Linked DNA regions of Struthio camelus. The protein of the gene in region 2 binds, or shares a complex with, the protein of the main gene of each other region. Links are inferred from orthologs where the notes say so. Each region holds a gene or a part of one and is shown on either strand. Other genes may lie near its edges. The genes, in order: ADAP1 and KIF13B.

The links.
Region 1: the proteins of KIF13B (region 2) and ADAP1 are in contact, whole or in part, in a crystal structure (PDB 3MDB), measured with the Homo sapiens proteins. The link is inferred for Struthio camelus from reciprocal best matches to the Homo sapiens genes KIF13B and ADAP1. Residues at the interface, in NP_056069.2 of Homo sapiens: Val451, Asn452, Leu453, Asn454, Ala455, Asp456, Pro457, Leu463, Arg512, Phe514, Asn516, Gly517, Arg531, Leu533, Asn536, Asn537, Phe539; in NP_006860.2 of Homo sapiens: Trp137, Asn143, Gly144, Gln145, Phe146, Leu147, Pro186, Ala187, Lys188, Ile189, Gly190, His191, Pro192, His193, Tyr211, Glu213.

Annotation. Positions count from the first base shown.
Region 1 is NC_090956.1:7,377,138-7,391,370, reverse strand, and holds the start of ADAP1 (arf-GAP with dual PH domain-containing protein 1), read right to left. Parts: upstream 6,893-14,233; 5' UTR 6,660-6,892; coding exon 6,575-6,659; intron 1-6,574. UniProt on the Homo sapiens protein: GTPase-activating protein for the ADP ribosylation factor family. Binds phosphatidylinositol 3,4,5-trisphosphate (PtdInsP3) and inositol 1,3,4,5-tetrakisphosphate (InsP4). Regulates the incorporation of CD63 and CD9 into multivesicular bodies.
Region 2 is NC_090944.1:9,919,058-9,934,359, forward strand, and holds the start of KIF13B (kinesin-like protein KIF13B), read right to left. Parts: upstream 7,536-15,302; 5' UTR 7,435-7,535; coding exon 7,380-7,434; intron 1-7,379. UniProt on the Homo sapiens protein: Involved in reorganization of the cortical cytoskeleton. Regulates axon formation by promoting the formation of extra axons. May be functionally important for the intracellular trafficking of MAGUKs and associated protein complexes.

The DNA.
Region 1 (14,233 bases), on a different chromosome or scaffold from region 2:
CTATTCCCTTCTCAAACCACAGTTATTGCTGCAGGCCTGGCCAAGACAAGTATCCAAGAGCATGGAGTGAATGCGCAGCAACATCCCGTGAACGCATCCACCAGCAAGTACCGCTGTCTCCCCCTGCCCAGGTGACAGCCGTAACGATAAAGAATTATTGGAGGGGAAAGGAGGAACTGTCTAGGCAGGCAAAACCTCTTTTGCCCTGTACTAGGAAGGTAATGTATGTCCTACATGCATGTAAACATGGGATTTTTTGTAGAATCAACATTATAAATCAACAGCAGCTGAACAGCAAGCAGAAAAGGCTAAGGCTTTACTTAATATCACAGGCAGGAGAACTTCACGTCCACCACTAAACTTCTGTTGCTATTTATTCCAGGGGAAAGATTAGGAGGTTAATGAACAGGCCCCGGTCATGCATGTTCAAACATAACAATAAAAGACATTAAAACTAAAGCCAAACAGACTCCCATCAACACTTCACTAAGTAGGAAAATTTCTCAGAGGAGGCACTAAACATGCCAAAGTCTTCTTATTCAGCTGTCAGCTCTCAGCAGCCCCCTCTGCTTGCTGTCCGCAAACCACAACAGCACTACAAGCCTAGGAATTAGGAAAGGACATATTGTCGGTTAAAGCACTATTAGAAAGCATAGTCACATGAAGCATGTTTTGTTTCAAAGAGCCTTCTTCTCTGCAGAACGTGGAATCGAGGGAAACAACTATGATGGGAATTTTTCTCCTCGCTCTGTGTACGCCAAGGGAAAAAGAGTTGGCAAACTCCAGGGAAGAAAAAGAACTATTTAAGTTAGAGGACAATGGAGGTGCGGGAACAAGTTTCCAAATTTAGCTTGAGAATGAGAAGACCGTTTCACGCCATTAGAGCAGCAAAGCTCTGGAACAGCTTTCCAGTAGGAGGTAGTGGGGGCAAAAGAGAGAATGAGTTACAAGACAGAGCGCCATCGCTTCTTGGAGGGGATTAGAAGATGTCATCGCATACGACAGCAAGAGATACGACCTGATGACTCAAGCAGTTCCTTTGCAAATCTGTGTTTTCAGGACTGGTGATTAGATAGGGGATGGAGAGGTTTAAGATCAAATCCTTTCAATGTCCTCCTTAATCCAAAGCAGATCAAGCAATGCCCTGCACACATGTATTTTCCTCTAATCACCACCTCTATTGCATAAACTCAGCGGAATGAAATAGCTTTGCCTACTTGAAAAATAAGAAGATGCTGGGCCTGCAGGAAAGGTGTTGGGAACAAACTCAGCTGTACACCTCCTCACAGGCTTTTATATACACTACTACACCCAAAGGCCAAATACACCCAGCTTTGCAATACAAGGGCGCTCTGATACAAGGTGCCCCTCCACCTCTCGCCTTCTGCCCCTCTGTCCGTGAGGTACAGATGCGATGGGAGATGGAGGAAGAACAGAGAAGTCAGTGTTGAACCACTCTCCTTTGAGGGCCTGCGTCCCAGTAATCTGAACAAATAAGAAAGGTGAAAGCAATATAAACAAGCCACTGAAAACTGCTGCTGGAGGGTCTAAACCACAGGATCGCTTTGACAGGATTTCCACTTCTGTCTTCAGAGCCTCACTCTTGTCCTACAACGTAAAATGATTCTCACTCAGTGGAAACACTACCCTAAGTCATAGAAAAATGGAGTAGAGAGAGAAATACGTAAGGTCTTGTTATCCCCTGAGATAACCATCCATCTCAGGATGTGAGGAAAAATTGCCTAAGACAAAGAATCATTAAAAAGAAAGAAAGAAAGAAAAAAAACGCAACTGCCACATTAGTCTTGAAGAAAAAAGGTTATTCTAATACGTCAAGAGCCATTACACACTAGCAATTCAGAGATATTGCTCAGTTTGCACTTAGGACTGCATTTAACATGCTGTCTTCCTCGGTGAAAGCGCATCTTTAAACCCACCAAAACAAACACATTGCAAACCAGGATCCAAGACCCAGACTCCAGCACAGAAATATGTAATGACAGAGTGCCAGGTGCCTCAAATAACTTTATTATAGTGGCTTCTACCTCATAATTCAGTCTCAAAGCTATAGCTAATGCAGTCTCATTATTCAGATGGATAGTGTTTTTGCAGCTAATTTCTTCTAAAATTCAAAATAGCCTTTTGTTGCAAAATAAAGTTTTGTAAAGATTCAATTAATAAAAATTAACTAAAACTTTTTAAAAAACAACAAACCCTGCAAATGAGAAATTCATCCTCTTAGATCTTCTTCCACTCTGATTTTCAGTCTCTACTTCTCCGTCCTTCTACATTCCCAGCTGCCACAGCCAGGGCCACTGTAAGCCTGTTTGCTATACCTGAGATATGCCCTCAAAATCTCACTTGCAAGGATTTTTGGAAGCCTCACTCTTGCAGCTGAGATTTTCCTGCCAGGCATACACGCTGGTCCTGGGGAACACACAGTGCATAGACCTGGTCCTCCTGAGCATCAGATTTGACATCATGTTCCATGCAGATACAAGTGTAAATATTCTGTGGACAAACCAAGGCAATGGAAATCTCAAATACGGCAGTCTTGGTCGTGGAACTTGTAGCCCTTAATTAGGATTATTTAAGCAGCAGGTTCTGGTCCAGTCCAGACAATAAGCAAGTTTTACCTAGATCTCACCGAGGAGCCAGCTATGAGATGTCTTCCACGATCCTGTGGGACACAAAGTTACCCACATAGTCTAAGGGAAAAGCACTCACTCTCCTGCTGCTCCCTCTCCATCTTGGGGTTTGCATTTTTGCACAGTCACCGCTCAGTCACAGTGATGCTGAGCTGCAGGCTCTTTTGCAGCAGGAACCCACATTTTTGTTACATGACCATGTAATAATGGGGACAAGTCATTCCTCGAGGGCTATGGCTATTGAGCCCCATCAAAATGCCAAAACAGGAACAAAACAAACCCAGTCTGACAGCATAAGAGAAGAGAGAAAATTCTTCCCATAAGAGAAAAACTGTCCACTGACTGGCTGATTTTTGAAACAAAAATTTCCAAGAGCAAAAGAAAAACCAGCTGGTTTCCAAATACACAGAATTGAAGAGACTGACTACTAGAGCAATTTTGTATTTATATTTTGGACCCATTCTATTCTTTGTTGTCAGTATCGCTTGGCTAAATGGCTACCTCTTATCATGGGTCCTGAATTAGCTCTGGGATTTCAAGGAAAGGATCACATCCATTTTAGAAGTAGTAATAAATCAAGGATCCTGACCCCAGCTGCACCAGACCAGCAATGTGATGGCACATGAAACGTGGGAAAGGACAAGAACTACCATCTTTCCCATCCTCCGTTCATCCCCCCCCACGCTCTTCTTTCATTCTCACTTTATTTTCTCTGCTTCGGTACTTTTCCTGCTTTCAGCTGTCCACCCAGCTCCAGCTCTCACTTTTAACTTTCTGTGCATCCCGATCCTTTGCTAAGGACATATTTATATCCCAGTTTGGAGCTCTTGGGACACCAGTTATCACGGGGCTGAAGTTCCCATGACTGTGCCTGTCCATTCGGCTGCTGCAAGCCAAAGGAAGTAGTCCCGAGATCCCTCATCTATACGGGCATAAAGATGTTCGCAGATGGGAGAGATCCCAGCTAAGGGACACACTGCTATTCCCACCCCTTTATTCTGCGCACACCCTTGGAGTGGCTGCAAGAATCGCTGTTCTCGTTTACACCAGGATGAATACCTGAATTCAGAAGGGATATTTCATGCTTACGCTGCAGGTACAAGGTATGGGTCTGTTATTCCCTGGGTTACTTGATACCCAGCTGAAAACGTAGCTGGGGGTGGCATTTCAAGTCTATTGTCACTCCCAGGCACAGGAGCACATGACAGCACCATGAGTAGCATCTGTCAAAGAAAGCGAAGCAAAGTGATCACTAAAGAAATGCCATTTAACAACAGAACTCCAGTGCCAGGGGAAGAGCCCTGTGACAGTTCAAAAGAGAGGCTGGATGGTATTAATACAGCAGATCTTGTGTTACAAAAGACATTGGGCCAAATTCTCCTCTCCAAGTTTCAAATTTACTGAAGACATCTCTGCATGCAAGCATCACCAAAAGCAAAATACGGCTTTGTTGTTTTACAAGCCCATTTGGCATCTTTAAACCACAACCTTTCCTCAGTATGAGCTATTTCACTGACCTACAGCTTCATCTCGACCCTGCTGATGCTGAGAAACTTCAAAGTTTGCAGAGGGGCTTTACACCACACATAGCGCAAGAAAGAATTATCCCACTGATCTGAAGGGCTTCGGCTTGTAAAGTCTCCTCCAAGAAGGAGCAATTTAAGGAGACACCTATTCAGCAAGCCCAGGCTGCGTTCGGCAAGGTAAGTCAGAGGTGGGTTGGCGCAGTTACGCAGCAGCCGCCGCCGCCAGCACAGGAGTGGAAGCAGGCAGGGCCGCACAGCACTGCAAAGCCGTTCACACTGTGCAGAAAGTGCTTTGTCCTCCCTAGCCAGATACCAGGGGACACAAGGCGTCTGAAGATCAACAGCATTTTCCCCAAAACACAGATCAGGCTTATAAACCCTTCGTGATGGCACAAGCTGGATGACAGTATCCCATAGATACTGAAATCGCAAAGAAATCCACACCACACACAGAAATATAAGGTTCTGCTGAAGTCGTTTTTTCGTTTTGCTTTGTTTTTTAAACCTACAGAACGAGATGGAAAAGGACATCCCTTCTCTGCATCTCTTTTAGAGCCACCCTGCTCAAGCTAATACAAATTTTTAGTGTCTTCTGTATGGTGATTTAAAAAAAAAAAAAAAAGAGTTACTTGCTATGCAAATCTGTAAGATTTTTCTCAAAGGTAAGTCCCGTAACACCATGCAGATCTAAGCATCACTTTGCTCCACAAGACTTAGGCTTTCCCATGATCACACCTGCACCCCAACAATTCACCCAAGCAAAGGACAAGGCAAACGTGCCGTGTTCAGATTTTTTCTCCCTGCAGCCTCTGTGCCCAAGCAGGTCTATGGACATTTTAGCACGGTCATCTCCACCGCATTAAAAAGCGAGTAAAGTCTGCATAAATCTATGGCACATTGGTCAACGGTTGACAGGCAGGAAGCAGCATGGCAAAGCTTTTGGTTCCCTAAATCTGTTTGCTCACTGGTACGGCAGGAGCAGCTACAAAAGCCACGCTCTGTTTGCAAGGCAACAATAATGAAAAGCATAAGCGGGAACCACGCGCCCACCCTCGCTGAGCTCCGACCGCCCTGCTCCCTGCCTGCCAAGCACCCACCAGCCGCCCGCTCCTCGCCTGGAAACCCTCGCAAGCTAATTAAATGTCAGTGTCACCCATGTGGAGGGCTCGGTCTGCACTGCAGATCGCAGGCACGGAGACCTGCTGGAGTAGCCTGGGATGACATCAGCATTGCCACAGCTGGGAGTGGAGCTGGGCTGCGGGGGCTGTGGGGATACCCTTCCCCCTGCCTTGGCTGGGGCTAGGCCTGGGTGCCCTGATGTCGCACCCTCCCCACTGCATCCCCCTTCCCTGCATCCCACCCCGCTGCATCCCTCCCCACTGCACTCCCTTCCTTGCATCCCACCCCGCTGCATCCCACCCCACTGCATCACTCCCCATTTCACCCTCTTCCTTGCATCCCACCCCACTGCATCCTCCCCACTGCACCCCACACCGCTGCATCGCTCCCCATTTCACCCTCTTCCTTGCATCCCACCCCACTGCATCCTCCCCACTGCACCCCCTTCCTTGCATCCCACCCCACTGCATCCTCCCCACTGCACCCCCTTCCTTGCATCCCACCCCGCTGCATCCCCCCCATTGCATCCCACCTCGCTGCATCCCCCCCATTGCATCCCACCCCGCTGCTTCCCCTTCCTTGCATCCCACCCCACTGCTTCCCCTTCCTTGCATCCCACCCCACTGCTTCCCCTTCCTTGCATCCCACCCCACTGCTTCCCCTTCCTTGCATCCCACCCCACTGCTTCCCCTTCCTTGCATCCCACCCCACTGCTTCCCCTTCCTTGCATCCCACCCCACTGCATCCTCCCCATTGCACCTCCTTCCCTGCATCTCGCCCTGCTGCATCCCCCCCATTGCATCCCACCCCACTGCTTCCCCTTCCTTGCATCCCACCTCGCTGCATCCTCCCCATTGCACCTCCTTCCCTGCATCTCGCCCTGCTGCATCGCTCCCCATTGCATCCCCTTCCTTTCATTTCACTCCGTCGCATCCCTCCCCACTGCACCCCCTTCCCTGCACCCCGGCCCAGTGCATCCCCCTGGGCCGGGCTCCCCGAGTCCCGCTCCGGCCCCAGCTCAGGGCCGCCCCTCGGCTCCCGCCCGGCCAAGGCAGCGCAGCCTCCCCTCGCGCTCCCGGGGCCGCCGCCGCCGCCCGAGCGCGGCCCCCCCCCGCCCGCCGCGGTCCCCTCCGCGCCGGCCGACACGGCCCCCCCCCGCCCGCGGGACGCCGCCGCCTCGGGCGAGGCGAGGCGAGGCGCCCGGCCGGGCGGGCGGAGGGCAGGGCCGGGCCGGCAGGTGCAGGTGCCGGTGCCGCCGCCCGCGGAGCTCCTCGCCCTTACCCGGCGCGGCGCAGTCGGCGCACGCCGCGTTGCCCGGCCGCTGGAGCAGCTCCGCCAGCGCCTTCCTGCTCCTCTCCTTCGCCATGGAGGCGGCGAGAGCAGGCAGCGCTCGGCTCAGCTCCCCGCGTCCTCGCTCGGCTCCGCCGCGGCTAAATGAGCTTCATGGCGCGGGGCGGGGGGCGCTGGCGAGGCTGCTCCATGCGGCCCCCGGCTCGCCCCGCGCAAGGTGAACGCCTCCGGCGGGCCACGCCGCCGCCGAGCGGGGACGCGCCGGGGCGGTTTCTCCCGAGGGCGCCTCCTCGCCCCGCCGGAGCTGCCCGCCCGGCTGGGCGCCGCGCCGGTTCCGCCTTCCGCCGGGCCGGGCCGGGCAGGGCCGAGCCCCGGCAGCTGGCGGCTCCCCGCGACCTCCGGCGGCCGCTCAGCGCCGCCCCCCAGGGGCTGCCCGACCCCCCCCCCCCCCGCCCCGGGGCCCCTGACGGGCGCGGCGGCCCCGGGCGCCTGCGCCACCTGCGGCCGCGCCTGCCGGCGAGGGGCGCTGCGGGCCGCGGGGCGGGAGCCGCCCTCTGGCAGCGGGGCGGCCCGGGGGGGTGGGCGAGCGGCGTTTTGGGGCTGCTCTGAGGCGTTGTCGCCCTTGGCGGGGGGACTCGGGAGCGCTGAGCGTTAGCCACGTACTTCTGCCAAGCGCCCCTCCTTCCCCCGCGTCCCTGCAGGGGCGAGCGGCCACCCGCTCCGTCCCCAGCCCTCGGCGGTGCTTTCCCTCCAAGCGTCCGCCAGCGCTTTCCGCGCGGTGCTGTGTCAGGGAAGACGGCGGCGCTCAGGCCAAGCATCCGCCAGCGCTTTCCGCGCGGTGCCGTGTCAGGGAAGACGGCGGCGCTCAGGCCAAGCGTCCCCCAGCGCTTTCAGTGCGGTGCCACGCCAGGGAAAATGGCGGCGCTCAGGCCAAGCGTCCCCCAGCGCTTTCAGTGCGGTGCCACGCCAGGGAAAATGGCGGCGCTCAGGCCAAGCGTCCCCCAGCGCTTTCAGTGCGGTGCCACGCCAGGGAAAATGGCGGCGCTCAGGCCAAGCGTCCCCCAGTGCTTTCAGTGCGGTGCCACGTCAGGGAAAATGGTGGCGCTCAGGCCAAGCGTCCGCCAGCGCTTTCAGTGCGGTGCCACGTCAGGGAAGATGGCGGCGCTCAGGCCAAGCGTCCGCCAGCGCTTTCAGTGCGGTGCCACGTCAGGGAAGATGGCGGCGCTCAGGCCAAGCGTCCGCCAGCGTTTTCAGTGCGGTGCCACGTCAGGGAAGATGGCGGCGCTCAGGCCAAGTGTCCCCCAGCGCTTTCAGTGCAGTGCCACGCCAGGGAAAATGGCGGCGCTCAGGCCAAGCGTCCCCCAGCGTTTTCAGTGCGGTGCCACGTCAGGGAAGATGGCGGCGCTCAGGCCAAGTGTCCCCCAGCGCTTTCAGTGCGGTGCCACGCCAGGGAAAATGGCGGCGCTCAGGCCAAGCGTCCGCCAGCGCTTTCGGTGCGGTGCCACGTCAGGGAAGATGGCGGCGCTCAGGCCAAGCGTCCGCCAGCGCTTTCGGTGCGGTGCCGTGTCAGGGAAGATGGCGGCGCTGAGGCCGGCCAGGGCCTGGCCCGGCTCCCCCATCCTTGGCTGGAGGCGAGGGCTGCGGCCATCTCGCTGCCCGCCATTGCGCGCGGGGAAATGCTGCCGTCCCCGTGTCATCAGCTAAGGGCTGGCGAGACGGAGGCGGTGGGGCGGTGTGGGAAGCCACGGGCAGAGCAGGAGGTCGGGGCTGTGCCTCGCAGGCTGTTGCCCTCACCCCGGTGAAGCCTTCCTCTCCAGGACGGGTCGCGGATATCCACGACGCCACTATGACCGAGTTATTTGTGCCTCATCGATGGTTACAGAACTGATTTTGGTTTTGTGACACGAGTCCTCCGTTCATATCGTCCATCTCTGTTTCCTCAGCCAAAACAACACCCTTCTGCAGCGCTTTGCTCGTGCTGTTAACGCTCCTCATAAGGCTCAAGGCTTGCACCAGCGTTGGCAGGAGGGGGAGCCAAGTATTTCCTTCCACAACCAAATCCCAATCCTGATCCTGCAAACATAACACAGGTGTGAGCGGTGCCTCAGCTTCCAGGGAACACTTTGTGCAAAGAAAATAATCTTTACATGGATGCAAAATCATGGCCTGATATGATTGAAATACTCCTCTCATCTGGAAGACATTTTCCTAAGTGACCTTGCCATTTATACTGTCAGACAATTGATTTTAACTGAATTAATTTCTGATTGTTTTAAGCTGACGTTAGACTGTTCCTTGCGGAAGTGCTGTGCAGCGTTATGCAGTGTTCGGGGTTTTGTGTTTTTCTGTTTTTCCACATGTGGGCTGATGGCATCTGGAAACTTGTTCCCGTGCTAACCAAAGGCTGAATGCTGGAGCCCCTGCTCCCACACGCAGTCCTGTTGTTGTGAATTGCGGCCACAGCATCCAGGTCCTCGGCTTGGGCCCCAGACAGGTGACTTTACCTTCTTAAATCTCCAGATCGTTACTACTAACCTGGGGCAAAGCTGCTGACTTCAAACTCCTACTGAGGGAGGACTAAGACCCAAGCACGTGAGTAAAACTGGCTCCAGCACAGAATGTTAGCTCTAATCTTCCAAAAACATGTCATATTCAAGCTTGAGGAACTGCTCATCAGTGTAAATGCTTACAGAATCGGAGCTTTACCTAAGTCCAAGTTAGGAGGCTGGGTTTTCATTTGCCCTTCAGTCACACCACAGCCCCGGTTCCCTTGGCACCTGCGTGTGCACTTGCCAAATTTGTCGTGCAATAGCTGGGATACTGCAAGTCATTATGAACTTCCTGGGGGCAGAGGGCTGGGAGGAGGGAGGGAGGGAGATTGGCTTTAAAGTCTCTGTTTTGCTTTCCATTAAGTCTTATTGATTCTCTTAATTTTTTGTTCTCCTGGTTGCTAGGCAATCCCTCTCTCCTCTCTGCATGCTGGAAACCAGGGCTGCAGACAGAAATTTATATCTTGTAATAAAATCAAATCTAACGGAGCCTGTTGTCAATGATGAGAAGGGGGTGTTTCATAAAGGACAGGCTGAGCAGGCGCGGTGGAGAACAGAGGCCAGAAAGGATCAATCAACAGCAATCCTCATCATTTAAGTCCCATCACAATTACAGAGTTCCCCACAACACCAATATGACAGCGTACATCCTTCTCCAAACTTCAAATCAGGAAACAAACAACACATGTGAGTAGAGGGGACATGGAGCGAGGGAGAAAAGTTGGAACAGGACCGAATCAGCCAGAATTGAAAACAAGTTTTTGTTTAGTGGAAAACCAAAGGCTTGATTCAGTCTTATGAATACAACAAGGGTATCACTGTAGATTCACCCCTGGTTTATCCAAGCTTAACTGGACGGGTAGTAACAGTTATTCCTGATCGGTGTCAATCAGCATAATGTTGATCCAGGACATGCAGTGAGACTCTCCAAATCGACACTGGCTCCTCAGGATTTCAGTTCCCGATTGCCATTTGTGCAAGGAAGGGCAGGGGCAGCTTCAGAATTGACTATCGGGTGTCGTGGAGAGGGGGAAGGTGGACCTGAGAGGGCTCGCAGAGGCTGCTGAAAGGCTGGAGAGAGGTGGGAGTCTCTGCTCAGGCTTGTCCACGTGAGGCTGTACCTGTAGGATCCAGCACCAGGGAAGTCACTATGAGCTTTTCACCATGTTTTCGAGCAGTCTGTGGGTATGATCTCTTAGGGAGCGTTCTGTGAATTTGCTCCTATTTCTCCTAAGGTCTCTGGCCAAGCCAGATTGGCTTTTTGCTCCGAGACCAGACTGTCTGTCAATGCATTGTCCTTGTTCAGATGGGTTCTGACTCTCCACTGCTGAGTGACTCTCTTAGTCTGAAATAATTCTTTTTACGTATGTATATAAATATGTATATATGCATATATAAAATATGTTTGTATGTAAACACGCATGCATGCTTTTAACTCTGTCTTTTCTAAATCGCAAGGTTGTTGTCTTAGAAATGGACATTATTAATGCGATCTCCCAAAGTGCTAAGCACAGCGGCAGCCAAGACTGACTGATACCTTTGGAAATGCTGGCCTGTGAGGTCAGGGCGAAGAATGTTTAAAACTTCCTGGAAATCTTTTCATCAGCTTTGTGATGACACCATGAAACTTCTCCTTGCCCCTCCATCTTACCTATTTTCACCCTGGAACTCTTTTGTTATGAAAGAGCCATTTCCACTGTTACTTAGTTACTTTTGCAGCCCCAATCCTGAAATGGCTAAATGAGTGTCACAGTCACACAAGTAAAAGGGTATTAAACTCAACCGTTTAGGTGACCCTGGAGTGCATTCACAGTGTAACATGGGGAAATATTACAAATTCCTGTGTGCATGGCAAACCCTAACAGAAATATCGAGAATTCATGCCCCTGTAACTGCATACAAGCAAAACTCTCCAGAGGAGGAGATGTACCAGACTGGATCCCTTATGCTTCCTCCGTGCTATAGGGAAGGCAGCTCTTACAGCAGGAGATTTGCGTGAAAAGCCATAGCACTGACCACCTGCAGCCATGTTAATGCAGCTAGTTTCAGTGGTTTTCTGTTCAACAGAAAGAAAAAGAAACTGAAGTCACAGAGGCTGTTCTTTAAAAAAATCATATTTGTTGGGTTGTCCAGTTAAATCTAGACACTGACTACAGCTGGGAAAGAGGAATGCCAAGGAGCAGAGAGGGCTCAGAGCAGGGCAGTCATAAATGCCTGAACTGAAAATCAGGCATTGACACCAACTTTCTCTATGAGCATACAGCAGCAACCCTGTGTGAAGCACACTTCACACACCTGCCTGCGTGGTTATCATGTGTTGAGTGCCATCAAATTGAAGAGAACAACGCAAAGGAAAATGATGCAAGGGTGCCAAAATAACACACTTAAGTTCTGTGCTCGCAGAGCTGCTCTGCACCTGCACCAGACCCCAAAGAGGAAAAGGTGGTGTGCAGCTCTAAAAGTGCATTGCTGTGCAGTAGTAATTTGCAGATCAGGGTATCACTGCATTTGCATATTGGCTAACTCTGCTCCTAAGCCCAGTGTCAGGTGTATTGAAAAAGAATTTGGTACTCCCATCATTTAATAGTTTCGCACAACAGATCACAGAATTCTTCTTCACAGCAGAAGAAACAGGGAGAGCGAGAACAGGAAGGAGGGGCAGAGCACAATCTCTCTGCTGATTTACTTTGCCACTATTTTTCAGTCTGCTGTGACCACTGCTGATCACAAACCCGATTATTTGCTTCTGTCCTCCCTCTGTTGTGACGTCCTGGGGCTGAGGCCTGCTCTCTCTCAACCACATCGCCAGGAAAAGGAAAGTAGCCCCAGCCACTTTTTAGAGTCCGTCTGTCATGTGCTCAACAGGGCCTTTCTGTTTCTACTCCCAGCCTGAGGGTGCTCTTCCCACTGCCTGTGCTCTGGCCAGTCTCACTGCAGAAATCAAGGGATTTGGGAATCGGTGCAGGGGAGGGCAATCTCTTCTTTACAGTCACACGGGCTGCTTAGTCACTCTGGCAGGGTAGTTGGAAGACCAGAGACATCCTAGGGAGTTCCTCAGCCAGGTAATTGATAGCCTCAGGATGTTGGATATTTGTATTTGTCTGCTTCACAGCACACAGGGAAATCTCAGCACAAGAAAAGACTCCCTGGGACAATCCTGTTACTGTTGTACTGAACCCATTTCATATGCTGTAAAATATGACATAGAAGGGCAGCTGGGGGAACTGGTGCGACTCCACAGCAGCTCCCATCAACACGGCTGGCACTCTGTTGATTTACACTGCCAGAAAATCCCCTCCTAATAATGGGCTCTTTTCTGCTCTCAGGAAAAAAGATGATGAAATTAGACAAATGAATAATTCAATCAATAATTCACCTACACCAGTGTTACACCACTGCTTTTAGCATTATTCCTGATTTATACTAATGAAAAGAGTCAGGCCTGGGAAAGCTCCGTATGGAGAAAACCAACACACGTGTGAAAAGATCCATATGTCAGAGGGTATCAGCTCATCCAAGAAAAGTCAGAGTGATTATTCAGAGCTGGCCATCATCAATTCAATCTGAGTCAGAGACGGCACCAGGACAGGTTCAACGTGCAAACCGCAGGGCAAGCACTTATCAGGGAAATTGCTTTTGCTCAATTCCAATAATGTAATCTCTTCCTGTTCAAATGCCTCATCCTTCCAGGAACAGCTCAAAGACATTCAAGCAGGGGACTGCACCGCGTGATGTCTCATTGCAGGGCAGGGACCGACCTAGAGCAAGCAAGCCAACTACTGTGCATTCAGGAGGACTTAGGAGTCAGTGGCTGCACCAGCCAGGGACCCAGAGCAAAGAGGATGACAGAGGAGGCTATTGGGATAGAGAGAAAGGAGCTGAAGCCCAACCGATCACTGCTGGTCTGGAAATCTCTGCAGAGCAGCTCAAGTTCCTCAGAACGAAGATGGGCCGTTTTAAAAGGCCACAGAGGAAAAGCGAAAACTTGCTGCAACTGTAGGGCCCATCAATTAGTCTTGTATCACAGACTGCTGCCCTCAGCTGCCTGTCCAGACCAGACATTTGAGACCACATCGCTTTCTGTAACATTGCTCAGCTGTGATTTGAATAAAGCATTAGGCGGAACCGAAGCTGTGTTTTTTCTCTAGGAAGAGATTAGAAATGATGGCCTGAAGAAAGCTGCCAAACAGCTAGAAAGGTCAATTCAGCCTTCCCCCAATTCATTTTGTCCACAGAAAGTCGAGGACCATGCCTTACCCTTCCTCTGGCTGCTGATGGGGTTGTTGGGAGGTCACTGCAGGCCTCATAAGAGCTCCCACAACACTGAGATACAGAGCATGCTGTTCACTTATTTGTTTATTTCAATATGCTTTGCCAAAGAAAAATCAGCAAAAAATTAATTAACAGCAATTATTTCTAGCAACAACAGAGCAGCCCTACTCCAGAAGCCACGTAAACAACATCATGAGACCCCTGTGGCCAAAAAGCCTTTATAAACAGGTGCAAAAATAAACAATTTTATAGCAGGCTATAAAAACAGCCCAAGCCAGGTTGGGGAACGGCAGGGGAGAGATAGACAGAACAGCCATTTCGATGGCTGTCTGAGCTGAAGCAGTAGCCCAGGTAACTCCTGCAAAAGAGCTTTAATAGACTAACCAGCCCTGAGCAGAGGCACCAGCCTGATTCAAAGAACCAGCAGGGCCAGGTTATTGCTGTAATAGCAGGTTTACTACATCAGTCACTCCATATTATTAGTGCTGCTAAAGTGATTTACTGTCTAAACCAGTCCAACCGACTAGGGCGATGATCTAAAGTACTAGCCAGCTCCAGTTTCAGTGACAAACATCCAACCCCCTGCTTATTATTTGCTAACATCAACCTAGATAAAGCTGTCAATCAAGACATCTCTCTGCTCCAGTGAGTCCTTCTAGCTGGTGCCACACCTGCAGGTCTCCCGGGGTGAATGCTGAAAGGCTGCAGGTAGAGGTTCCCAGCACACTCTCATTTTTCACCCACCTGGTTCTTTTCCAGGAGACAGTAGTGAACTCGGCAATTCTCTCCCTTCAACTTGCACATCTCATATCGACCTAATTCTGGTTCT
Region 2 (15,302 bases):
GTGTAGATCTTAGCTGAAACCATACTCGTGTGCAAGTCCCAGAGGACTAAGCCTTCGATAAACCACACATTAGCCACATACACTTTTGGCTTTTGCACTAACCTAAGAAACTCAGCAAGTTTCAAACGAGGTGGCAAAAGTCAGTAGAGAGAGCAAAGCCAGGCGCAGCGTACCACTGCGTGCAGAGGTGGACACAGCAGGCTAGCGAAGCGTTGGTATAGTCCCAGTGACAGATAGCAGTTTACATTCCCTCCCTAATAGCAGTCAGGCATCTGGTAATCATAAACTCAGTAGAGCAGATTTTCCGCAACAGCGTTAGGAAACACTAGTGAGGTAAAACTTTGAAGTAGTGCTAAACAGATCTGGGGCAGAGACAATCGGTATATTTGAATCCTGGTGGAAGGCGAGAGAAGTGACAAAAACGTTGGACAATTTCAGCTCTAGAAAACCTCCACCTTTGTCTGTGGGTCAACTGAGGAACCGTCTTCACAGATTAGCTCCAAATAACGACAGCAATGGTGGGAATACCCAGCCCACTCCAGTATGGGTGCTGAATCAAGCACAGAGGCATCAGATGGCATAACAAAAATATCTGGATCTCCATGCAGTGAAACCGGAGGTTTTTTGACAATATCATAAAAAGTCACTACACCTCTAATGTTACTATATTTCAGAACCAAACAAAACGATACGAGTTGATGGCCTGTACACAGCAGTTTGAAAACAATCTTTAAATGAAAGATAAGCTCATCTACAATTTATTAAACTGTTAGTCAGGACCACGGCATCATAACAGCCTCTAGACCAGCAGCCAGAGTAAGTGAAATGTTTGTTGTAATATTTTTAAACACGTTCCTCTTTATACGCTCTACTTTTTCACATTGTATAAGACGAATTAAGAGAAAACTTTTCTCATTTCATCCAGAGCCTTTATTTCCATGTAATTTTTTCCCCTCGGGTTTCAGTTTAAGCTCTTCTTTCTGATGGCTGACCGTTTTCCAGCCCTTTCAAAAACTACTTGAGCACAAATTCCACTGAAATAAAGATGTGAACCCGGCGATATCACACAGCTCAAACAAAATTTGTGATGAATTTCTCCTGAACCCGCTACCAGGTTAGGGCAGCTGCACTGACACCTAAGGTACCCTCGGAGACAGGACATTAGCTTAGATGGACCGTCAGTGAGAACCAGTACGGCTGTTCTCACAGTTTCACAAAAGCTAATGGAGGTGTAATAAATAAATAAATAAAGTGGGAAAGGTTTAAAGGGGATATAACAAGCTCATAAGTCAAAATTGGCCAAAAACACAAGAACTCAAAATGATATCTTGTAAAGACTGAGATGACAGAAATTTTATATTTAAAATTGCCAGTAGTGGTTTGGTTTTTTTTTTTTTTTTGGGGGGGGGGGGGGGGGGGGAAGATTAATACTCCCTTGAAGGTTAGAACCAGAACGCTGTGGTGCTATCTACCGCATGGCAGCCTCGAAGTTGCATGGAAAAAGAAAGTACAGTCGGTTTCTTGTACCTTTCTCAGTTTGAAGAAGCAAGTAGCAGGAACACTCAGAAATGTTTAAACTCTATTTCAAAAATATTTAAAAGCTTATTTATCACACACAGATTAAAGGAACACCAACTAAAAAAAAAAGGCTTATTTCTGTTTTTTGTTTTTGTTTTGTTTTTTAATAAAAAAAGCTGGAAGCAAGTTCAAATACCACATGTCCTCAGGTCTCCCAGCCAATGTTTGTTGCTTTAAAGTGACTTTTCTCTTTGCCCTTTGCTATAGGGAAGCCAATACAAACAAGGGAAAAACTAACTGACTGCACAAGAGCAAGCGAAACTAACCTACACCTAACTGGCAGTGCTAAGAAGTAAAGCTTAAAGGGAAAAAATACAGTGTGAGCAATAGCACTTTCAGGGCATTAATTTAAAGCCACAGTAGCTTAAAAATTCTGGACAAAAATACAATAATTTGACTTCTCCCTTTGTCTACCAACATGAAATTTAAGTAGACATCCCTCAAGCTTCCCTGCTACACATAAACTGTGCAAATATCATTCATGAAATTTTCAGTTTGCAGCAATTAAAGATCATCAAACATGCATGAGTGCATCTGGAAAGGCACACAAAACTATCTAATCTGAATGACGAAGTATAAATCAACTCAGCCTCATGAGCACATCGAACACAGGCAAGCTCTCCTCAATTGTTAACACTACATAGTCCAATATGTAAAAAGTTTATTCTATCTTCTCCCGTTTCATTTAACGTGAGAGCTTGGCCGAATGGCTTTAGTAAAGGCGTTCTCTGCCTCTGGACATTAACCCTACCGACAGTCATCGCTGCTGCCGCTGCCTGCGTGGCTCATTTTACAAAGACTTGTAAATGAATCAATCTAGTAACTTTCTGACGCAGCAGAGAGCTCTGAAGAAGTTCAACGTGCAAGTCCTCCGTGCTGCTGCTTTGTTTCAAGCTTCAAAGTTAACAGGAATGAAACGCGATAAAGTTTGCTCTGCCACTAACAAACCAAAAGCCAAGGCAGAACTATTCGCCGAGAGCGTATCTGATCTTTTTGTTGAATTCAGGAAGATCAAGCAAATGTGAAACCAGAGCAGCAAGGTAATCTCACACACTGCACTTAAGGCTAGCTCTAAAGATGCAATCAGCACAATTGTTTGCTTTTGTGGCCTCCACACTTGACAGAATGGTAGTCTCAGGCTCGCTGGCAGTAAGCAGTAAGCTTGTAACACCTTAGGAGTTCTTAAAATACAATTGCATCACTGAGGAATGCAAGATAAAACACTAACTTTACATGCCTTACCCATTTGTCACTATATCTCTAGGTATGAACCACTGTTTATACTGCAAGGACTATGTTATATGTTATCAAGAGGAAATATTAAATACTATATTTAGCACTCGTTTATCACAAGGAGCCTAGTGAAAAAATTCTTGCATTCTGCATGTTGTCATCGGGATATAACAGGTGCCATTTCATTTACTGTAATACCACCATTAGTCTTATAAGACTACGTGCACAAACTCCAATTTACAGATAATTCGTTTCCGCTGTAATCTTCAACGCAAAAAAAAAAAAAAAAAAAAAGCAAGAACCACCACCCTTCCCACCCCGCCAAAAACCAAAAACATTTCAAGGGAGCGGGAATGCAACCTCCCCCAAAGAGTAGGACAGAAGATTAGTGCCTAACACAGTGGTCAATCAGTACCGAAGTAAATGCCTTCCTTATGAGCACCTTGTGACAGAATTTTTATCATCCAAGCACAGAAGAATCCTTTTTGGAGCACACAAACGAGTCTGGATGAATATCCAAATTAACGCAGCAGAAATCTGAACGTACATTTACAGGCAACCTAGCTGTTTAAACTGGAAGTCACATGTCCGTAACGCCACAATCCTATGACCAGTTTAATCTGGCAGCGCTGCCACAGCGCAGGCTGCGGCCCCGGAGCAGCACACCCACAGCTCCGCTCCCCACCTCCCCGGCATACCGCCGCTGCCGCCCTCCCGGCCCAGCCTTGCGCCAGCACCACGGCCACTATTATTCCTCAATAAATCCGTTCAAAGCACGAAACGAACTAACTACACGCTTCTTGCGGTTAGTTTTCCGCCTTTCTTGTTCAAACAGAAAGGCGCTGGTGAGAGGCAGTAGCTGAAACCGGCTGAAAGTGTCAGACCGTACCCTTGAGCGTAAGTCTTTTCCTTTTTTTAGTACCACTAAAAATGTTATACTCTAAGTAATGCTCCACTGAATTGATTCAACCGCATAGACAAACACACGGACTTAAACACACTATACTCATGGGCTGCCTCTACATCAACATCACCTGCAACCAAAAATTCAATAAGACAAATCTCAATTAAAAAGCTACAAGCTGGCTTTTGCTTTGCTTCACAGTGACATAAGAACTCTGCTCAGCAGTTGTGTAACGTAAAATAAATATCTGCTAAATGAAACCAAGCACTGACGACATTTGTAAAAGGAAATCCACAGCAACTCTAAAACACAATAGCAAAAGAAGTTACTGATTGCTATCAAAAACCCATGTGAAAAAGCTGTGCATCTGGAAATATTTTCAGCAAATGTTGTATTGCAACTAAAGCAAGAAAAGAGAAGACCCTTAAAAGTCTTATTTAATAGACCAATGCTGAATTATTTACTTCATAATAGCTCGCTAATCAAGATCCCAGTCTTCTAAGTGCAAAGTATACAAAAAACAAGTTACGACTGCTACCCAGAAGTGCTTATAACTTTAGACCTGATGCTGCAGGTGCAATGACACAGAAACTGTTTTACAAAAGCATGGTTTCCATACAGTTTGCAAGTCTGGGGCCTAGTTTCAAATAAAATGCAATAAATAACTGAGGTGGAACTATGAGTGTTTCCTCTCACTATTAAAAATTAGTACTATACGCTTACCTTACAGATTGCCTCTTCGAACGACACTGAAGCAGGGCCCTCTATACTATCGCCTTCAAATGTGAATACTATAAATAACCAACTATTTGATACAGAAATCCTTTCAACATGCATGCAAAGAACCTATTATACTTTTATGAGCTGTATAAATTAGCAATAGCTAAACATACCACTTTTATTAAGCTAATAAACCCTTGCCTTAAGAAATTCATAATTCAAACACTAAAGACAACCACCACTACCACAGGCAAACACTAAGAATATTTTAAAGGTTAAATCTCTACAGTTGTGGCCATCTGACAGGTTTGCAATTTTAAGCCCTTCGGTGCGGAAGAAAGGAAAGAACATTACTCATGACCCTGAAGAAAACAAATACTTGCTTCAGGTCCAAAGACCCAGATTTTCATATAATGTTATTTAAAAACAAAGTGCTTATTACAGAGCTTCTAAGAAAGCCACCTCTTGCCTCAAAGCCTACTAAAAATGCAAAGCCACAGAAGTTTCACAACTGGATAATTCTTAAGAAAATCATCTACGCAAATTCTTAAATATAATATTAATTCAGTAATTCAGCATTATATTGCTGCTTGTTACTGTAAATTCTAGGAGCATCGGAAATATTGTACTGAGATACCAGCTGTTTAGAACTGGCCAAAATATGTGGATTGTGACAAATAGCCTGCTTAAAAAATTCAATTACAAGGCTACATTTGAGGGAATGAAAAAGACTTTGACCTTTCAGGCCGGACTTGCTTGGACTTGGGTATTACTCACAAAATACCAGGATGCTTAATGGTTACTAAACGGATCTTACAGAGAGGAGGTATGCCCTGACTGCCAAGCTATGCGCGGGGAGCACAGGGCTTCGAGTCCCTCTTCTCTCTGACGTACAGCAAGCGCTGAAACTCAAACATCCCTCGCTCTTGGATGAGCCTACTAATGACCAGGCTACAGATGTTCTCCACATTTTTAAGTTTATACAGAATAAAGCAGCTCCAATAACAAGATACCCACTCCCATTCCCCCAGGTTTGTACAGCTCATTGTCAGGGCTTTCCCCTAGCAGAAGTCTCAAATGGCTACCCTGCCCTAAATCTAATCTTGCGTGTTTTTACCCACTCGCCCCTTACTTCTATTGCTTCTTCCTCACAGATACTTTCTACTGACCTCAGCCCCTACCTGAAAACAAGCTGAAGACCAGCGCACGGACATAAACTAGGGGCTGAGCTTACGCAGAATAGCAACCAAGAGGGACAGGTTCATTACTCACTCTGGGACGTTCAAAACTTGACCGGACAAGACCCAGTGCAACCTAATCTAACTTGATCTGCTCTGAGCAGCAGGATGGACAAGAGACCTCCACAGGTCCCTTCCGACCCGAATTATTGTACAGGTCCGTAATCCCGGGAGTGAAGAGCCCAGCGATGTCAGGATGGTGTCTGGGTCACAGCCAAGGGAACGAGCTCTGACAAAAAGAGGGACACGAGCAGGAGGAAAGCCCACGACTGCCACTGAAACAAGACGCCACCTTTCAGGGCCTCTTCATCCCAGCTACCACGGAGTCCTCCTCACTGTAACGCTCGTTCTCCTCTCACCAGTTCTCCACGAGGAGGACGTCGGTCCTCCCTCAGGTTGAGGGCTGCTGCCCGAAGTCTGACAAAAACGCAGATCTGAACCTGGGTCAAAATGCCCTCGATTACCCTAACCCACTAGGCTATAAGGACATCAACTCTGCCTCTTCTATTTTTGGGTATGGGACTCGACACCTCTCGTGAACTTAGCCTCACATTCCTCTGCTTTTCATTTCAGAACATCTGGAAATGCCTTATTTAACAAGCTTAAACTTTTTTTTTTCTTATTTATTGAAAAGAAGTTAAAGACTTCTTTTGTTTCATATCACGTAGAAAATAACAGGGGTTGTTTCCTTCCTCCCTTTTGGTTCAGCGATTAAACTGCCTTCGCTTTATCCCCTCTCCCCAAAAGGAATTATTGGCATACCTCTGTGGGAAAGGGGGGGGGGGAGAACTACATATTTCTTGGATTTTTGCCTTCTTCTTCACCTCCCCGTTCCCTGGCAATACTTCCCTTTTCATACTCGTTTCCTCGTAATCTAGAGCAAGTTTTTTCCTAATTCAGAAAAGGAATAACCATTAAAACAGATGCTCAGACCACGGTACGGATTAACGTAACCCTGAGGCAAGTTTCGCTGAGGGCGGGGAGGGAGGGGGGAAAAAAAAAAACCCAAACACACACAATTTCTCTTGTCAATTCATGCATCCTCTTCCATGTTTTCTTGGTTTTGTCCTTATAAAACCTCCGCCAACTACGTCCCGCTCGCGCACGGAGCGGTCGGAAGAGGGGTTACAGCGCGCAGGGCTGAGGAAAAAAAAAAAAGACACAGAAAAGGACGGATTTACCCCCCCCCCCAAAAAAAAAAAAAAAAAGAAAAAACAAACGGAGAGACAGAGCAGGAAGAAGGAAGAGCTCAACCTTGTGAGGAGGAGGGAGCAGGGGCACAGCCCGGCTGTAAAGCAGGTGCAAGAGGTGCGGAGCGAGGTGAAAATAGACAGAGAGATAAAGAGAGAAGAAGAGGCATCAGCGGGGGGCGAGCTGAGGGGCTGGCGGTGCGCTGTGAGGAGCGGGGACGGGCGGCGCAGCCCAAGGGGTGTGAGGGGAGGGGGGGGGCCGCCCAGCCTCACCCGCAAACACACCTATCAATACATAGGTACACACACACAAACACCTCTACACGACACCTACAGACACGGGGCGGGCGGACACAGCGCTGCCCCCCAGGGACGCGCGCCCCAGGAGCCTCCCTCCCCGCTCGCCCCTCCGGCCCCCTCCCCTCCCCCACCCCGAGACCCGCCACCCGCTCGCTCGCGCGCGCGGTGGGGGAAGGGGGGGGGAACCAGTCGCGCGGGCGCGCGCGCGGCGCTCACCTCGCCTGTTCATGGGGCGGACGCGCACCGCCACCTTCACTTTGGAGTCCCCCATCGCCTCGCTCCTGCCCCGGGCTCGCTCGTCCCTCCTCGGCTTCCGTCTACGGAGGGGGACAGCCGGCAGCGCGGGGAGGAGCGCGCGCGCGGGGAGGAGGGTGTATGTTGGGGGGGGGGGGAGGGTGTGAAACCAAGGGGGCGGTGGGAGGGAGGCAACCGTGCGTGACCGACGTCCGGCGGGACTACAACCCCCAGCGTGCAGCGCGGCGCCTCGCCCCTCCCGCAGCGGGGGGGAGGTGGTGCGGCGCGCTGCATGCCGGGAGTTGTAGTCCTGCCCCCTCGGCTCCGGGGGGGAAGCATTGCATGCTGGGATATGTAGTTCCCTAAGAAAGGGGTTTTTTTTTTGGGGGGGGGTGGGGGTGGGGAGTGAGCCCCAAAATGCTGTTTTGTGGGTTGTGGTGTACAGCCGGGAGCGGACACTCAGGCTCAGGGTGGCCTGTGAGTCACTTCACGCCGTGGGGTAACCCACGTCGCAGCTCAGGCCCCGGCCTGCCGTCTCGGGGTGAATAAGCCCGTATTTCGTTCTGAGCGGAGAGCGGTATCTGGACAGCTTTTCACGCCGCTCTCAGGGTTAAGCTCGTTTCTCCTGCCTGTTTTCCCTCCCCTGTCCACCTGCAGCACCCCCGCTGCGAGCGCCTGAGCGAAACAATGACGTCTGTCACCGCATCACTTCCCCTGTAGCAAAAGAGGAAAAATCAAAAGTAAGGTTTTTTTCCACCATCTCTTTTGAGCGCTGGGAGGAGTTCAGACAAAGATGGGACTATTTAAGTCTACGCCGTAATGTTTGACCTGGAAGCCAGCGATGCTTATTTAATAACTTCATACGAAGGCTAGGCAAGTTCTCCATGATAAAGAGCTGCTCTGCGATTTCCGTCCGATTATAATCACGTTACATGTCACGTTACAGATGACGAGCCATAACCCAACGCGCAGCGCGAGGTCTCACCGGCGCCGGGGTCTGACTTGGCGGAGCAATCATCATCTCCCTTATTCTGTCAAGGCACAGCAATCGTGTCGTTAACCGGTCCCTTGCACGTCGCTTAGCGGAGCCAGTTCGTTAAAAGAGCTCAACAGCGATAATCAGAGATGAGGCGAACAGTATTAGAGCTTCTCCACGTTAGGCGGCTCAACAGTTCAACCCCGTCTGCTGCTCGCGAGGACCAAGAGCGAAACCATAACCCAAAGATGCAAAAAGCTCATTTAAACAGTCACGGCTGACTAACCTTGTGGTTGCTATTTGAGTTCAAAACAAGGATTCTCTCCGCGCCGTTTCGAAAGGCCAAATTTCAGCAAGGGCAGAAAATAAACGTCCAGAACCATAATCCTGCAGCCCTTCAGTGTCAAAAACTGTCACAGGGCTTTGTCCCTGAGTGGCAGAAAGAAAAAAAGAGGGGGAAAAAAGAAAGAAAGAAAGAAAGAAAAAACCCACATTTCCAAATGGTTTTAAGGTAAGATTTTGGTAGGTAGCATTTTTTGCCCAGAGGGACTGGACTCAACATACGATGTGTCATTTCACACCTGGCTGACCTGAAGAATATCTTGTCAAGGTAGAGAGAATACAAACAAAAAGCCTGCATTTAACTGACACTAAGCTTAACGCCCACGTTCTTAAGAAGAGAGCCACAGCATCCCAAATGAACCCTGGGGTGAGAAGTCATCCTGGAGGTTGGAGGAAAAAAGAAAAGAAAAAAATGCAGCGGGTCAGGCCAAGCAGGGTGGCAGAAGCCCCAAAATGAGACTGGATAGTTTGTACACACTGGCGGAAAGCACCGAATCCTCGGCGTGCCGGGTGCGCGCTGCAGCCTTGCAGCTTTGTGCCGCGGGAATCGTACGGCTTCTTACTCCGAGGCGGACAAGCGGGACGTCCCGCTCTCAGCCTGCACAGTTGGCTCTTGCACTTGTGAGCTTGCAGATCCAATTACAGGATGAAACCAGGCTTTGAACTTCTTGTGGTATTTTCCAGCTGGGGCCTCAGCAAACCACACCAGCATTTTCTGAAACTTGGTTCCTTGCTGCTGAGATATATATAAACCCCACTTTACAGCTGAGGACAGTGAGCAGCAAGTGGAGGTAGTTTTACGTGGGGTTGAGTCAACTGGAATCTGATTTAAATAAAAGAAAAGCACACTTGCCGGATGTGCGTGCTGCTGCTCATAGCAGGTGTGACCCAAATGCAGTCCTTCCTAGGCATCCTTCTCCTCTGCTATCCGTTATATGTAAAATTAAACAGTAAGTTCTTTGGAAAAGGATTGTGTTCCGGCTTTTTTCTTTGTTAGACAAAGGTTCCAGCGTATTTTAAGTACATGCACAATGGTAAGCGCAAGTGTTTACTTTTTACAAGCTTTGCCTCAACTTTCTACTTGGAACGAAGCGTTGAGTTTAAAAAATTGGAAAAATCTCCCTTTCAACCTCAGTTCAGTTTTAATTGCCACAGAGAAGCTTCAAAGTCCCCCATCTTTTATTTAATCGCTGCTATTTTCTGCAAATTCAGGTCTCGAAAAACTATCCCCAACCTGGACGTCCTTTCCGGTCTCATCCGTGCGCAGGAGTGATAATTCCTCCCAGCTATGGGCCGTGATGCCTGGGGACATTTCCTTTACGCAGCCACCCTCTCCTGCGATGAATTACAGTAATGCAACTTGTCTCGCGCTGGCACAAGCTACCCCGGCGTAATTACGCGCCGCGGCGAATTCCTCGACCTCGACCAGGCCTTTCCCGAGCTGTGGGAAGCATCTCCCCGGAGGGGCACAGCTCGGAGGGCGGATATTGTTTCCATTCACAGCCTTGGGACATGCTAATTATGCTGGGAGGAAAGGGGGGAATGGCAATATTCACATAGGAGGGACAGGCTGGGCAAATAGTTTACGAAACGCCAATCTTAACCCCGCGGTCTTGTAGGGAATTGTCCAGAGCTCTTTTCCCCCTTCCTAGTTACTGTAATGAGGGGCTGACTTCCCAGATTAGCTCTGGCTATTTAAATGCTAATTTAATTAACAAAACATCCTTGGAGGGGAAGGCATTACTTGTCCCTCCCATTCATTTATCCAGTTCCTGAATGCAACACTGTTTTAATCAGGTTGAGGAGCCGCAGTTATGGCTATACCCACCTGGACATAACAGGGACTGAAGCTGCGACGTAGAGAAGAGAAATTCAAGGTCCTTGATCTCATTTTTTTATAAGCAAGTAGGTAAAGACGGATCATTGAGAAGCAACCAAGTCATAAAGACGTTGTGTGTCCCGCATCGCTGGTGTGCATGGGGTACACCTATCAGCAGGCGGAGATGGAGGAACTTGGCTTTCATTTCTCTTTAGGCAAAGGTATGACTGAGTTACATCTCACATCACCTAGACGTAATTATATCTCATGGCAGCCTTTGGGATGTCTCTCCTTCCAAACTGCAGCGAGTGATAAATCAAGCCTATTTTAAACCCATTTCTTCATTTGTGGGAAGTGCACATCAAAAGAGACGCATCAATTATGAATATGCTGTAGACCTAGTTTCTACCCATAAATCATTCAGGCGTTGGAAAACTAAAACAGAGCATCTTATCAGTGTTGAGTTGTATGGAAACTCTTAAGTATCGCAGGGGTCCATTTTTGGGAGAAGCTGGGCACCACTGGCATAGTCCCTGTCCACAGCAGGAGGCATCCAGAGCACCCAGCAGCCCTGCAGCTCCTTCGCGTTGTCACGGAGCAGGTCCTCGGCACAAAAGTCCATGGAGAGACATGCAAAAACTGAGATTTGTTTTTGTACATTTTTCCTAGTTTTTTTTTTTTTGTCCTTCTTCTGGGAGAACACTGGTAATTATGTCAATGCTGAGTTTGATCCTAATATGCTAATTTGTCTTCAGGTTTATCTTGCTTTTCCATCTGGAGCTATGAATATATAAATGTAGTATAACTCTTGTAGGCAGTTAAAGGCAAACAAAGAAGACGAGTTTGTCATAAGTTTCTTTCAGCTATAATCCAGAAAGAAGGCACCAAGGGAAATCAGTATTAAGAACCGATCAAAGAGTCTGGACATAAAAGAAAATAATTTTCTCCAAACCGCTTGTGTCAAAATCCTGTTTACCATCAACACTTCTGTTTTTTTAAAGGGATTGCTAGACATCTCTCAAGCCACACAATTTGTCCAGTTTTGTGGGTTCATGTGGACTCACATTGGCACAGCACTTTTTGTGTTCCTTTTATTAGGAACTTTGTGAAATCAAAGAGCTGATAGTTTCATAGTTCAGAATTTCACTGGTCCTGGGACAGACTTTTGTAAAGGCGTTTGAGCCTGTGGCCCCCTGCCCTCACTGTGAAGCGTGTGCACAAATAAATGGATTCCTGAAGTCCTGTTGCAGTACTAGTTTATAACACGGGGTAAAGGTGGAAACAAATTTTGTAGATGATCATGCTCCCCCCCCCCTTTTTTTTCATAAATTACTCCAAAGTTCAAAGTCCTGGCCATAAATTTCATGGGGTTGTAGGACATAACACCAGCCTGTATTACCCGGAGGGAAATCCCAAATCGATAGCCCTGATGGCAGAAAAATCCCTGCAATCTGCCCTGTTTATGGCAGCGAGATTTCCCGCAGCCACTTCGCCTGGGATGCAGTGGGATTTCCATACAAACTCATGCTCCTGAAGGCAATCCAGAGCCCTGTAATATTAGTGATTTATGTGCTTGTAAGATGAAGCTGCAGATGTTTCTGCTGCCCCTGCGTTGCCTTTTGTCCAAGCAGTTCTTTTGTTAACTAAAGATTCAACGTTGGGTTTCATTTATTTGAAAAGAAAATAGATTTTCTGTCTTTAGAGAAAACGAGAATCTCTAGAGAACTGGAGACATACAAAATTATCAGGAGAATGTGTTTAGCGAATGCCAGACAAGCTCGCAGCCCCAGAAAGGGGAAAAAAAACGCAGTGCAAAGACATTGGCTGAGACTCCAAAAAGTGGATATTTTCGAGTTGTGTAACACTTGTAGCTTTTATCTCCCAGCACTTTTGAGATAAGATACATGATCTGCGAGGACTGAACTGCCTTGCCTGCAAAAAGATTGCAATATCTCATAGCTTCAGTTGCTGAATCATGGTGCTGTTGCTGCACATCTGCAGAGAAGAGGAGCCCTGCAGGAGCCAGATTTCTGTTGTTCCCCCTGTCCACACTTTTTTCCTTCTCTACTTCCCCTCCCTCCAGGACTGGGACAGATTCAAAGCTGGTCCCGTTGACCCAGACGCCCCTGGACACCAGAGGAGCTCCTAATCCAAACCCAGACCTAAATCCCCAGCTGCATTTACACAGCTAAACGGTTTTATATGTTTTGCCGGTGTATAGCAAATAACGCTGTGGGCTAAAAAGCCAGCTCCAGATTCCCCTAGTTTTAATGAGCTGATGATTTGATGCTGAAACTTGGGGAAAAATATGATCAATGGGGATGTTGCTTTCACCGCCAGGAGCTGCAGAACTTACTGATAAAGTGGGTTTTTTCACAGCAGCCAAAAATCCTTCCTGACTCTCTAGACAAGAGTGACACCCGGCGGCTAAGGAGCAAAGGAGAAGCAGGTCTAATTGTCGTGTTCCCCTTTCCTGTCCTGCTTAACTGATTTTTTTCCTGCTGCTCCCATGGCAGGAGCAGGGGATAGGGAAGCGCTGGCCTCTCCTTGCTGCGTGAGCCCCCGTCCCCTCGCTGCCCTCCCTTCCCAGGGCCGGCGCGGTTGGGGTGGGGGCAGCGGGGAGAGCAAAGGGTTAAAAACAGGGGGGCTCCTTTCACCTTGCACCCACTAAGTATTATCACATATTATCACACGCTGAAGAAATACCATTTTTTACTGCAATGGGCATAAAACTAATAATTACCTTTAATTAATTGGTTGGTGACAGTCATTGCAAATGAGTTAACTGCTGCAAGTTAAGTGTTTTAAAAAAAAAATAGGTAGAAATCTCGTGTAGTGTACACATGCGCAGTGCAGTATTGCACTGATATTGAATAATGATCCCAAATGATCCCCAAAATGATCCCCCAAAGACACAATACTGGCATTAATATTGATGCACATACGGTCTCTTTATGTGTTATCTTAATTCTGAGCCTGTGTTTCAAGGCTTTCCCCCACGATCGGAAGGGCTAAAATTTTACTTTATTTGGACTTCATTTTGGACTTGTTAAAAATGAAAATGGAAAAGCCCAGGTAATTACATGCCTTGCTGAGCTGAGGCTTTAATAAAATGTCAAGTGTGGGCAACGTACTGCTAAAAGCTGATTTCGTGGGCCTCTTCGGAGAATGTGCCCATCTAACCAGCAGTCTGGCTCCTAAATTACAAGTCCCTGCGGCATTTCCCAGGTGGTCCAACCCAGACATTACATGTTGCCTAAGGTACCTATTGATATGCCACTGTGTTATATAAAGGGAACTCAGCTTGGCTGAAATAGGGTAAATTTTTTCTGGTGTTCAGGTCTGACTCCAGAATGAAAAAGTCGCCCAGGTTTTGTAGAGTCTGAATCTGGAATTTGGGACTGCCTGCCCATGGCTTTTGCTTTTTGATCTATCCCTTCTCCCCCTCCATCGTCTTTTCCCCTTCATTGAATGTTGTTGGTGGTGAAGATGTTACAAAAAATGAGATTTCAGAATCATCCTCTCGGAAATACATAGCCCTGAAGTCATGCAGAAATCCCAGCTGGGACTTGGCACACAACCTTGGTCCTTCGACTGTTTCTCTTTCCTTTCCCTGTGAAGCTGGGATAAGAAAAAGCCAAATAAAGGCATTAAAATATAAAGCATCAGAAAGAATCAACCAGTTAGCAATCAAGCAGTTAATCAAGCAAGTCCTAAGGCTGATACAGACTTTTCATGACTCTCATATGTCAAACGACCCTCCTGGAGCACAAGATCTAGCTGGAAGTTCAGCTGGCTTTACCTTAGGGTTGAAGCTTGTGAAGATGTGAAGTCACATCTGTGCTGCGAAACCACCAGTGCCATGGAAATGCAGCTCCTAAGAGGTTGTTTTACAAGTCTGGAAACGAAAGATTTTTTTTTTAGCCTTGTACCAGTCTTTCCGTTTGTGTTCCCTTTTCTCCCTCTGGACGTCATTATTATTCCTACGCGTTTCCAGCGCTTTCTGGATTTTGTTGCCCTCTGCCTTGGTGACAACAAATGGGAAAGCATTCCCTGGGCATAGCACAGCGGTGTTTCCTTTGGTCTTCATGAAAAACATCAGCCTTTGGGACTCCCACAGAAACGATGTGCCCGAGGCTTTGCTTGATACAGCCAGCCTTCGCTGCCTGAAACAGCAGAAGAATTCTCATGGCACGTTAAGCCTTTTCGCACTGCTCCAAGTGGTCAGTCACTGGGAGGCCACGGTAAAATAACTCAAATGTCACCATTAAAAAAGAAACAAGAGAAAGTCCTCTTATTAAGCAAGTGAAATCTGCGGGATCTTTTCTCACTGCTTTCTGTGGAAGCTCTTCTACTTTTAGCTTTACACATCCCTTTCTCAACCAGTTCCTGAGCGTTCTCCTGGGCGAGAAGCGCCCCGTACTCACCGTCCCCTGCATGAGTCGTCTGAGTTCACAAGCAATGTTATACACATGCCTGAGGGCAATATTTGGTCTCTACCAAGTACCTACAGGTTAAATATTCACATGAATTAGCTTAACAAATTACCCCGCACGAGGAACACATTTTCATGGATTCACAGGCAGAACGAGAAATGCCGGCGTGGTGGCTTCTGGACTTGCCAGGGTGCACCTAGGTTTGGCCCATCTCAGAATCTGCCTGTAATGCTAAATCTTACAGCCGAGAGAGACTGGAGAAGTCTCTGCCCCCTCCGCCTTACGTAAACCAGGACTATGCACACTGGGTCCTTCCCCAGACTTTCAACTCT